Linked DNA regions of Drosophila melanogaster. The protein of the gene in region 1 interacts with the protein of each later gene in a pairwise test. Each region holds a gene or a part of one and is shown on either strand. Other genes may lie near its edges.

What was found.
Region 2: the proteins of CG10513 (region 1) and CG13168 interact in a two-hybrid assay, tested with the Drosophila melanogaster proteins (one large-scale study listed by BioGRID).
Region 3: the proteins of CG10513 (region 1) and CG11726 interact in a two-hybrid assay, tested with the Drosophila melanogaster proteins (one large-scale study listed by BioGRID).

What each region holds. Positions count from the first base shown.
Region 1 is NT_033777.3:25,275,281-25,279,047, forward strand, and holds CG10513 (uncharacterized protein), read right to left. Parts: upstream 1,933-3,767; 5' UTR 1,915-1,932; coding exon 846-1,914; intron 781-845; coding exon 581-780; 3' UTR 510-580; downstream 1-509. Other genes in the region: CG10514 (uncharacterized protein), read right to left, coding at 3,225-3,430, 3,493-3,767.
Region 2 is NT_033778.4:12,251,789-12,256,281, forward strand, and holds CG13168 (uncharacterized protein), read left to right. Parts: upstream 1-2,203; 5' UTR 2,204-2,572; coding exon 2,573-2,576; intron 2,577-2,632; coding exon 2,633-3,227; intron 3,228-3,283; coding exon 3,284-3,433; intron 3,434-3,485; coding exon 3,486-3,819; 3' UTR 3,820-3,913; downstream 3,914-4,493.
Region 3 is NT_037436.4:11,392,780-11,396,253, reverse strand, and holds CG11726 (uncharacterized protein), read right to left. Parts: upstream 1,565-3,474; 5' UTR 1,484-1,564; coding exon 608-1,483; 3' UTR 581-607; downstream 1-580.

The DNA.
Region 1 (3,767 bases):
CTTGATTGCACTTTATGTGTGTAATTCGGCAATAACTGACCTTTTTATATGAAATACAGTGTTCATGACTGATAATAGCGCTTTCGAGTTTATTTCGGCAAGATAGTGCTAAACTCTTGACAAACAAAAGGTGCAAGCAATACTAAAAATCTCAGAAGATAACAATTACAAGCCCTTGAATCGTGGTGAAATAGAAACAATCGCGATACGCCAAAAGATAAGCCGCAGATGTTTTAGCTAATAAAAGAAACTAATATTTACCTACAACAAATAAATACGAATACGAATGTATTTAACAAGTCAAGGTGTACTACTGAGGAAAAAACTTGTAAGTGAATTGTTGCGTCCCCCTTATAACTCATACGCACCGTTGGCCCGCTTATCGTTTGCTTTAAAACGTCACATTTAATATAGTTTTATGAATACAAACATTTACAATAGAACCATTGTGTGTTCTATTTCTAATCTTATTGCTTACCAACTTGCAATAAAAATGAACTGCTTTTCATATGGTTTTAACTTCAAAATAAAATTTGTTTTTATTTTTTATCAAATACTCGTAGTATATGATGGCTTCCATTCAGTCAATTACGTCTAGTAGACCACTCCGATCGAAGCGTGGCAGCTCGCGTTTGAGATTGTCCTGCAACCTCTTGTTGGTGTACAATACCTTCCGGAAGTTACGGCCTCGTTCGTCATCCTTCATCAAAGCATTAAAGTCGGCATCGGCGTTTTGGTCATTGGTCAATATGGCCTGGCAGACCAGAGCGACTGTGACAGCTGTTAGATACAATAATATAAACAATTATAATGGGTTTTTGAAAATCATTCCAGATGGGACTCACCAAAGAATCTGCCCCTTTCGAGCTGCAGGACGAACTGCCTCAATGTGGGAATGTAGCCACCAAAGTTGAGATCCTTAAGCGTTTCCACGAGCACCGTGTGATAATACTGAAACAGGGCATCCTGCTGTTCGTAGCGAATATCGACCTGCACCGAAGTGTTGAAGAAGTAGTGCAGATCCACCGCCGGCGAGGACCAACTGCAGAATTGGAAGTCGATGAGAGTCATGTCCAGTGGCTCCTTATTTTCGCCGTAGCGCAACATCACATTGTTCACCCAGTAGTCACCGTGCACCAATGTATTAAAATCTCCCGGTTGGGGATCGTAAACTCTTGTGGAGTACTCCATTACACGTTCCTGCAGCTTCTTCAATTTGGTAGCATACCGCTCACCCAATTCGGGACACTCCCTGGCAAAGTCAGCCGCCACGCCCACCGTATTCACAAAGAAGGGTGCAAAGGCCTGGGTGTGGCGATTGAAGATGCCGTGATCGAACTTGGTCAGCAATCCGGGTTGACGTTCGTTCAGAACAGCAGCGGCCGCATGCATCTTGGCCAGCTTTCGGAGTCCCAAGCGGGTGTGCTCCAGATCGAAACCAACCAGACGATCGGCCAGGACATATTTCGTCACCGCAAGGTCCTCAAAGATGATGGCCTCGTGCTCGTAGTCCACATGCAATGTCTTGGCGAAAACCTTTTCCGGCTGGCGAGTCTTCTCGATGAGCGAGCTCAATTGGGGCAGGATCTTCTCGTACATACGCATTTCCGTGGTGCTAACCTGGTACTGGGAAAATATTCCAGAGGCGAAGGCATCGTTCTCATAGGTGGTCTTCACAATATAGTATTCAGTCTCGGGGCTTTTGGCGCCACTTTTCAAGAACAAAATCCGCACGCGTGTCATCACACTAGCATAATTGTCACCCTTGGCAGTGGCGGGCTTGATCACCAAATCGGTGATCCTCAGTCCCGGATCATTCTTCAAATCCCGGAGCAGTCGCTCCAAGTAGGTTTCATCTAGCCACTCTGGCGCCGGATGAAATTCGGTAGCGTCTTCCTTGCCCTGCTCCACCATGATGATGCTCGACTTGTGTTCTGGATCACTTGGTCCAGTCGAAGGCCCCATTTATAGGCAGCCGGAAGACGCAATCTCGCCGACAACAGATCCCACATTATGGTAGCCGTAAAGCAAGCTGGCTCAGACAATTACGTAGCTGCTGCCCGTGGATTTCGATTCATACGACAGAGATTCGTGAGTATCTAAAGCTGACTAGATAGAAGCAGATCTCGGAGCGCGACACTTGACAGGGTGAGATAACACCCCCACATCTCGCAAATCGGTGCACGTTCCTATATATGATGTAAGTGTGCCCGCCGTAATTCATGCCGAATGGTGCTGACGTGGCGTCTAAAGATCGCTCTCGTGCTCGCGTCAAACTAATCTACTTCACAGCCCATAAATCCATCTGCCGTCCATCCATTTGCATAGTTGAGCCGGATAGTTAAGCTATTTACAGACTTACAATGGTTTCGTTTTTTATTTCCTAGTATTTAACGTTCTACGTATTTATAATAATCAGTCGGAAACTTTGAATTTCACAAGGATTTTCGAAACAGAATAGCCCAGAAGGAAAATAGTTAAACAAGTTTTCAAGTGCCAAGATAATGGGTAGAGGAGATAAGATTTCCCCTGCATACTTTCAGGTGTAGCCGATAACAATCTTGAATGTACATTTGTATATATGTCGGGTCTTCCTTTATCTAGCAACAGAATTTTTATTTTCATCTGTTCGAGGATTTACGATCTGTTTATTTTCAAGAGGAGCTTTGAATACGGCACTGCCTACTTTTGAGCGAATACCTTTTCTGTTTTCCTGCTGAATGTATTCTGTAACATACCTTCCAACTTGAGAATTTCTTTGATGGTCAACTTATTAGGTACGCATATCCGTTTTCTTTCTTTTCTCATTAATAAATTAAAAATTGTGATATTGTCAATTGGAGATAATGCACCTAAATAAATAAAAAACGATCCATTACATATGTCAGATTCAAAACATGTCTTACATATTCTCTTTAATTTTTTTTAGGAACGATACATTATTTTGCTTTTTGATTTTATACCAAAAATTATTATGACCCACTTATGAGAACACAAGTGTTATTCTTATCTCAATGTTTTAAAAATAGCTTATACGACATGTTGGCCATTTTATGTCTCAGATCAAAAATGTCCCAACCGTATTGCACTAGTCCCTTGAATTTTGGAAAGTCAAATATCCCATAACAGAGATAAACATTTAATTTAAAATGAGATTGTTTATTATTATTTAAACTTATAGACATAAAACGTGGAAGCCCAATAAAACATATCCTAATAATCTCTTAACAGGTCTGGTTAACTTCCAGCAGTCCCTTTCTATCGAAGAAGGGAACCAGGGAATGTAAATTTTGTTGAACTGTAGGGTTGTTATATAATCGGTTCTTAAACCGAATGCCACGCTCATCATCGTTCATCAAGGCATTGAAACAGGCATCCGTGGGATCCTGGCTAATCATAACTGGCTGCACCACTACCGTAGAATGCAAAGCTATAAAGAATATACAATTATTTAAAAAGAAATTACATTTTGTGATTAAATATACCACCTACCAAAGAATCTCTTTTGCTCCACCTCCAATTTAAACTGATGCAAACTGGGAATCTGATTTTGACGATAGTTGAGCTTTTCTAACGTCTCAGTGAATATCTTGTGGTAGAACTGGAAGAGCCCGTTCTGCTGATCTCTACGCAGTGGCTCCTTTAGAGAAGTATTGAACAGGTGATGGAGATCGATGCATGGGGAGCCCCAGAAGGAGTACTGGAAGTCAATGAGCAGCACATCGACGGGTCGTCCCGTATTCGGATCGTACTTGAACATCACATTG
Region 2 (4,493 bases), on another chromosome or scaffold:
AGGAAACTATAACTGTACTGTACTCCGAGGCATAATAATCCTGTCCGTGGCTATAATTTACCCGGAAAAGCGCCTTCATACGAATGCTTTAATTCGTTAAGTCGCTCTTAATGAGAAGCCAATAGTGAAAGTATAACTTTGAAAAAATATTATAAGATGTTCTCGTTAAGTTTCAAGGTTTCTAAGAACTAAAAATCTAAATCTGTTTATAAACACTGCTCTTATAATCCCATCTCAAACTACCACAACCTAACACGAATCTAGATCTATTTTCTTTAAAGCGAAACTACCGCAAACTAAATTCGTATTTTATCGTGAAAATACCAAGCCATCCTGCTCAAAGGAAGACCAGACCCAGGGGCATATCTTTAGCTTCCGCTGGTACGAGACCCAACAACCTGACCTTCCCGATGGCAGCCCGAGCATTATAATAACACTTTCTCAAAAAGGTTCTTTATGGGGTTTCCACCCCATTCCATTCCATTCCCCATCCCCACCATTCCCTAGCCACGAACCACCACCCACCATTAAGCACAGTTAGTTAGTCGTTTCTTGTTTCTCGTTTCCCTTTCCTTGAGTCCATTGTTCCGCGGTATCTCCGCTGTTCTCGCCTCTCCCTCTCTGTCGCCCACTTCTGCGCGACGACTATGGCCAAAAGTAATCTTCCAAGGCAAATGTGAACCACAAACAAATTTATAGCTGCAATGCGGCCAGGCCGAGCATAACGGGCCCACATTTCTGTGAAATCTATGTGAGAGCAGATGTGCAGAGGGGATGGAAATGGAGAAATAGAACTCAAAAGGAAACTGTCGAGTGAGGACGACTATAAAAATATACAACAATACTGCCAAGGCAACGGGACATAATGAGCCAGGGCCAGACGGCCCGAAACGGTAAATGGTAAGCGGTAAGTCTCTAATCGGTTAACGGTAAAGCCGAGCTCAGCTGAGCGAATGTGGGCCACCAGCAGGAGAGCGAACCATTTTGGCTTTGGATTTTTGCTTTTGCCCTGCACCTCCTTTGCAGTACCGTTAGCGTTTTTCTGCGTTCGTGCTTTGCATGGCCATTTGTTACGTATACGTGTGCGCAAGACTCTCGTTCTCTCTGCAGACTTGCCTTATTTGGCTGCATACTGTAGGGCGCTCTCCCGTTACTCCTGAATTTCAAATTTCGATGCATAACTTGAGGCGCTCGCTCTCTCTTTCTGAATCTCTCTCTCTCTCTTGTTATGTCCCTTTTTACTTTACACGTTTTGCTGCACACTTTGAAAGCACATTCTCTCTTCTTGCTCTCTCTGCTTGTTTATGCGTCATTTCTTTTGGCTTTTTCTCACACATCTCTCTTTTTGCAAAGGCAACAACAAATATTATGTCTTGCTCAATTTTATTTTTCTTCCCTTTCATCTTGCCCTTCCTTTTTTTAGTTGGTTCGCATTGCAGCATTTTATTTGCTAGCTCATTTATGCAATTACTACTGCCTTTAGTTATAACATATTATATATTTATTCATTTTAAGAAAAAGTACTGACCCTTATTATATTATTACTTCGTCTAAGTAACTAAAATTTATTTAAAATTAAATTAGGTAGGATGTGCTGAGACTCCACTGTACTAGTGAATCCGATTTTTGGCAGATTGCAGCGAAGGGCTCCCAGATTACATTCACTCTGTGGCTCCCCCTTTCATGCCAGTTTCATTAGGTAGATTTTCCACCTGAGTGAGGAACATTTCACCACCACCACCAACCCCACCCACCAACATTGTTCTGCATTCACAAGTTCGTTTCATGCTCTTATGGTTTTCTTTTTTCCCAGCAAGCCCCTCTGCAGCGCATTTTCCCTCGTTTGCTTTGCTGCAGCAGCTTTCATTCATGCCACGTCAGTTGACATAATGCGACATGGCCACACACAAGCAACAAGCCACCCACCGAAGGCGAGCGCCCACCGCCCCCTAGAAAACCGCCCCACACTCTTCATTGTCGACTACTGCACTTGGCAAAAGTTTCTACCAGTCATTGCCATGAAAGTGCCATTCAAATTTACCGCCCCTCGCCACGCCCCCTTCTTCAGTTGCTCCTTGATCGAAAGGGTTTCTATTTGGTATATATTCTTTGGCTTTGCAACCAGGCAACACGGTCAACATAGCAAGCCATGTTTGTTTATCCCCAAAAACAATAACAAACTCGGCTCAGAATTCAAAAAGACCTCGACACAAGCATAGCCAGAAAATCGGAAAAACATAAATTATAGAAAAAACAAAAGAAGCATAGAAGTTAAGAATATTCAAACAAGTGAAATACGCTCAAGAACATTTAATGGAAAAAAAAGCTTCACTTTCCAGGTTGCGGCAGATTAATTGCACCTATCTGCTTTAACTTCGTGATTTCGTTAATAATAAATAGAAAATTCCTGTTGTATCCGAGAGTCGTTTAAATTAATACATTTTAAAAGAACCCGGCACACAATTATATCGCAAAAAGGAAATTTTGTAAAGTTATTAATGTCTGTGTAAACGAAAATCTTTCAATGAGGATTTTATATATGCGCCAGGATCCGTAAAGCTGCTAAGTAAAAATGGGTTAGTATAAAATGAATGTTTTAAGACAAAACCAGTCATATCCTTTTTCCTTCCAGATACCACCGCCGAACGTCAGGTGAGACTGGAAGGAGTGGAACGTGTGCTCAAGATGTCCCAGGAGCGCATCAAGATAGCGATGATCATACCGAAGCTGCTGGAGAATCCCGAGAAGTTGAAGAGCGTCCTGAAGGACACCTGCTATGAGGAGGTTCTCGAGCCCATCGATGACATGATCCGCCACCTTGGCAAGCAGAGTGGACGTTCCAAGCTGCCACATGACCACACCACCATGCGAATCGTGGACTTCTTCCTGGTCAACCATAGCATTCATCGATTCTTTCCGCACTTGAAGAAGAACCTAAACGAAAGGGATCGCCAATTGCTGGCCGCCTTTCACTTTCTCCTGGAGAGCGCCCACGTCCATCTGCACCGATCCTCGCGTAGCGAGATTACCAAGGAGCGAAAGCTCCATGCCATCTTTCATCAGAATGTGGACATCAAGAAGAAAATCAAGGAACTGAAGGCGAGCCTGGCCTTCCAGAAGGTGATTGGCAAATGGAAGACGGCCGCCAAGGGCATCTATCTGATGAAGGTCGAGGAGGATCTGGCCAATAAGAAGTGGCAGAACAACGTGGCCATTCAGAACGAAATGTAACTCGGATTTCTAGTTCTAGAAATTCTTATTTGAATATATTTACAAATTACAGTGAAAAGTGCCATCGCACGATGCGAAGCTACCACAAGAGCAGCATGGACAGGCAGAAGGAATTGGAGGAGGAGCTGCAGAATGCCCGGGAGAGCTACGAGAAGATGACCAAGAAGCATCTGGCCGAAGAGCACGAGCTGCGAAGCGAAAAGTAAGCTACAAATCGAGTAATTTATTATTTAAGTGCTCTCAATCCTTTATAGAAACAAATTGCTCCTGCAACTGCAGAGTATGCTTAAGAAGTACGATACCAGCCTGGGCGAAAAGATGCGTGAGAATTTGGTGGCGGAGGATCAGTATCTGGCTGCCAAGAAGGTCCTCGACGATTTTATGGTCCAGTACAGGCAGGAGGAGCGCATCTACAAGAACATCGTGGTCAAGCGAGAGGAGGAGGAACGTCGCGTGCAGCAGGAGAAGCTGGTCATCTTCATGATGAACCGGGCGGCGGGCAAGATTCAAAAATACTGGCGCAAGTGGAAGAAGGATCAGCGCAAGAGGAAGCGCCAGGGAAAGGGCAAGGGCAAGAAGGGAAAGTAGTGTCCCAAACCGGATCTCTGTATATTTCTACATTGTACAATTTATATGTAGAAATACGAATATATTCCAACCTTCTACTACTACTAACGTGTATATATGTATCCTGTTTTCTCATTATTTTTTAAAACTGTCACATGCTAAAAAGTTATGTTTGCTTGAGCTCATTTGTTGTTTGCAAGCTTTTGTGGCATGAAAATCACTAAGCATGCATAAGTACCCATGTATGCAAATTAATATTTCCATAAGAGAAAAGGCAAATGTTTACTCGCAATTAAATCGTGTTTACTTGGCACTTGACAACACACAGAAATTTTCTGGAATTTCTTATATATTCTAGAGTAAAGAAATGATTATTTCCTTTATTCAGCAAGGCTAACCAATTTTATTAAATATTTTTCTATTGAACTGCGATAAATTTCGCCTAAGACATTGTCAACGCGGTTTTTTCTATGGGGTCAGAGGGCGAAATGTGTGGCTTCCCTGCGATTGCGAAAATCCAAGAGAGAATGAAAACGCCTGGCAGAATGTTTACCCAACACGCACACACACACACACACACACACATACAGCGATGGAGGGAAAAGCCAAATTTTCATGTCTTGCGGGGCGAACGAAAAATGGCGCATTGCTGTCGTCGCCAAGCGACAACGACTACGACAACGACAACTACAAAC
Region 3 (3,474 bases), on another chromosome or scaffold:
GGTGACCGTATTTTATTCACATACACCAAAAAGTACATCTATGTGGCAGCCATTAAATGCGCTAATTAGTTGGTCAATTAGCGTATGCTTTACTGGATTGTTTTTGGCTCTTTGTTTGTTGGCCCAAAGAGGACGGCTTTTTGGGTGGCGGAGCGTCAAAATCACAGTCACCATCGCATTTTGGACGTCAGCGGTTCAATCGCCCAACTGTCGCCACATTAATAAATCAGTTTAATTTAATTCAGTTGACAGCTTTAAGTCAATATTGTTGATTAATTGTTTTCTTTTAATTTCGGTTTTTTTTTTGGTTTTTGGTTTTGGTAACCTGCAGCTGTTGCCAAGGGGCAAATGAACACTTCACCGTTCATTAACAGCATTTCATTTTTGTTAATTAGCTCACTTTGGATCCATAATTCTTGTGCACATTGGACGGGTTTCCCGGCTTCAGGTTTTAAATGGAAAATAAATCGAAACCCTATTGTTTTAATAATTCATAAGCGGCAGTCAGCTTAATACATATATATGGACTATTTTTGCATTTAAGTTTAATTATTACATAAATACAAAAATTTGTAATTTTGAACATTCAATTATCATGCTTTTATTGCTAGGATTCAGTATGATTTGAGGAATCAGTTTCAGATTTTCTAATCTCGTCTAGGGCATCGCTCCAGGACATGAAGGCATCCGGATCATCCTCGCATTCACTCTTAATTCTCTCCGATTCAGAATTTTCGAATTCGGCTAGTTTCTGAAGACGAATTTGCATACGGCGTTCCACTTCCTCAGTGCTACTAGGAATTCTTTTTATAGGATTATCCCTGCCGAAAAAGGACGACTCACTTTCCGAAGGAAATGGTGAGTTCCTCGCAGAGATTGGCGAATCGATGGTGCTGAGATCACTGACACTGGCCGAATAATGGCTAGAGTTTATATCAAATTGCCTGCCTGAACAAGTAAATAATGAAAAGCCATCTCCAGCTGCCTTTGTCGGTGGTTCGGGTGGCAATTGGCCTATTTTGGCCATAAGACAACGACCACGGCACTTAAGCTTATCCATTTTGAGCAGACGAACGAGATCCTCGCGGGAATCCATTTCCACATACGCAAATCCCTTGGGTCGCTTTCCCTTCTTCGGAATGGTTAGAGAACGGATCGAAAAACTGGTGAACACTTTCCGCAACTCGCCTTCAGTGCACTCCATTGGCAAATTGCTGACCAATGCCACAAATGGTGGTTCCATTGACACCTCCTCTTCCGGATCGGGTGTACTGACCTTTTTCTGCAGATCTGAATTCGATTTTTTGGGCCCGTCGCCGTACATGAAAAGCTCTGCGTTGTCCACCTGGGAAGTTCGCACCTTTGTCACGTGCAACATGTCTTCCAATCCTTGCCCGGATTCGCTGCCGGAGACCGAGGACACGGAAGAGGAGCTGACTGGTGGCAGCTTGAAGCTACGCGATGACTTGGACATCTTTGCCATCAGTTACCAACAAATAAAGAATATATGTATTATTGATATAATGAGAACGTGGGTGTATTTTCCTTGAAAACTGGGAATGTTTTCTGCTACAAAAAGCAATGCCAATTTCGGCACAAAAATGTTTCTGTGTACATTAAATTTTACAACTATAAGTAAAGGAATTATTGAATTATGATGATTATAATTTTATATTAAACGAATCTTTTTGAATTGTATATATTTCTAGCTGCTAATGAACTCGAATTATTGATTCATCAACTTAAAAATGAAAAAAGATATGTCTTAAATCCTGATAAAATCATGATTGTTTTACATAAAGCAAGCTTTATACTTCATTTTCTCAGCATAAGTTTCATTCTTGAATAATAAATTGCTTTTTTCGCGTTCTGTCAATGCATAATTATAGTTGGTTGGCCAGGCAAAATGCTCGATTGAATATTCCCAGGCTGCGGATCGCATTCAGTGCAGCACCTGCTCCACAGATTCAGTTATACACATATATCGACCATCGGACTAGACAAATGCCAAGGTTCGCGGATCCCAACTGGCAACTATCGGCGTCGGTTGGAAAATATCAAAAGTTCAGCAAACAAGTGGCATGGAGTTGAGTTAGGAGTTTCGTAGTTTGAGTTTGAGTTTGGCTAATGCACGGATTGTGTCGTTTTCTGTTTGCTATTTGTTAGTTTGGTCGGTACGGTTGGTTTGTTGGGTTGGGTTGGGCCGAAACGAGCGAGGATGGAAGGAGGTTTCCACATTAGGCAACTGGCAACGGGCTACACCCATATTCCGTGGAAAATTGGGTGCGTTGGCCAAACACAAACTAAGGTAAACTGATAAAAATCATGGCCTGCAGCATGAGTGCGCCAGTACGAGTGTTATGGGCTTTCGGGCCAAGTAACCCAGCCAAGTGCCTGTTGCCCAGGGGCCTCGAGCCACACTCGTAGTACGTGTCTGGGACCGGGTATTACCAACAGACAGCGGACAGGCTAAAATATTAGGCCAATTATATTTCAAAAATTTACATGACGATGAAGTTGACGATGCCTGGGTCATCTATAATCCAAGCCATAGACAGAGAGGGTTCCACTTCCACACGAAAGAAATCCACACTCAAAAACATGGTTATATCATAAACATCAACATTTAGAAATTATAACATTGAAAATGATAGCCCTATATACATATATTATTATTCTAGATTAATATTAAATTAAATTGTATATATGTATATTATAATTACCATATCTCATAGAAGTAGCAAATATTTCAATATTCCGTAGCTTCTGCAAAAAGGAACTTCTCTTTTATTCATTCATTTCTTTTTTTCAGTGCAAGTACAGTGTGTACACGAAGGAAGCGTCAAGTGGCCTCCGCCTTCACGTTTTTTTTCCACACTATCTTGATGCTCTCACCACGGAACGTGCACGGGCATAAGTACGATGTCTGGAGAGCTACTCGTATCTGGGCACTAGGATCGCTTTCAGCTACATGGAATTTTCTTTCTTTTCGCTTAATTTCATAGAAACAGTCTGAATGAAATGTGGCAAAGGTGCAGCGAAGGTAATTAATTTCGAGGATTAGGCATTAGATTTTTGGCGATAGCAACGTGTCCCATAATTCTCATATCGAGGGGCCAGACGAACACGTCCGTAGACCCTATCTATCTACAAGGCATCTTTAACTCTACCGTCTCCTTTGTGGGTCACCAGAGGGCAACACATCGAAATTAATAATTGAATAGGGTTGTATGATTTGGATTAGGTGTAAAAAAGAACTTGGATTTGAGGTGCATATCAAATAAGGTTCAGTACCAAGAATGGTATCTCATGCATAAATATGTCATCATTTTAGACATAACTAATATGGAAACATAATAAACGGAATAATATCACAATTAATAAGCGGTTTTAAAACTTTAAACTTACAATAAATAAGTAATTACTCGTCGCCTTTTTAAAGTGTTAATTAGCTTTAGTCTACATCCCTTTAAA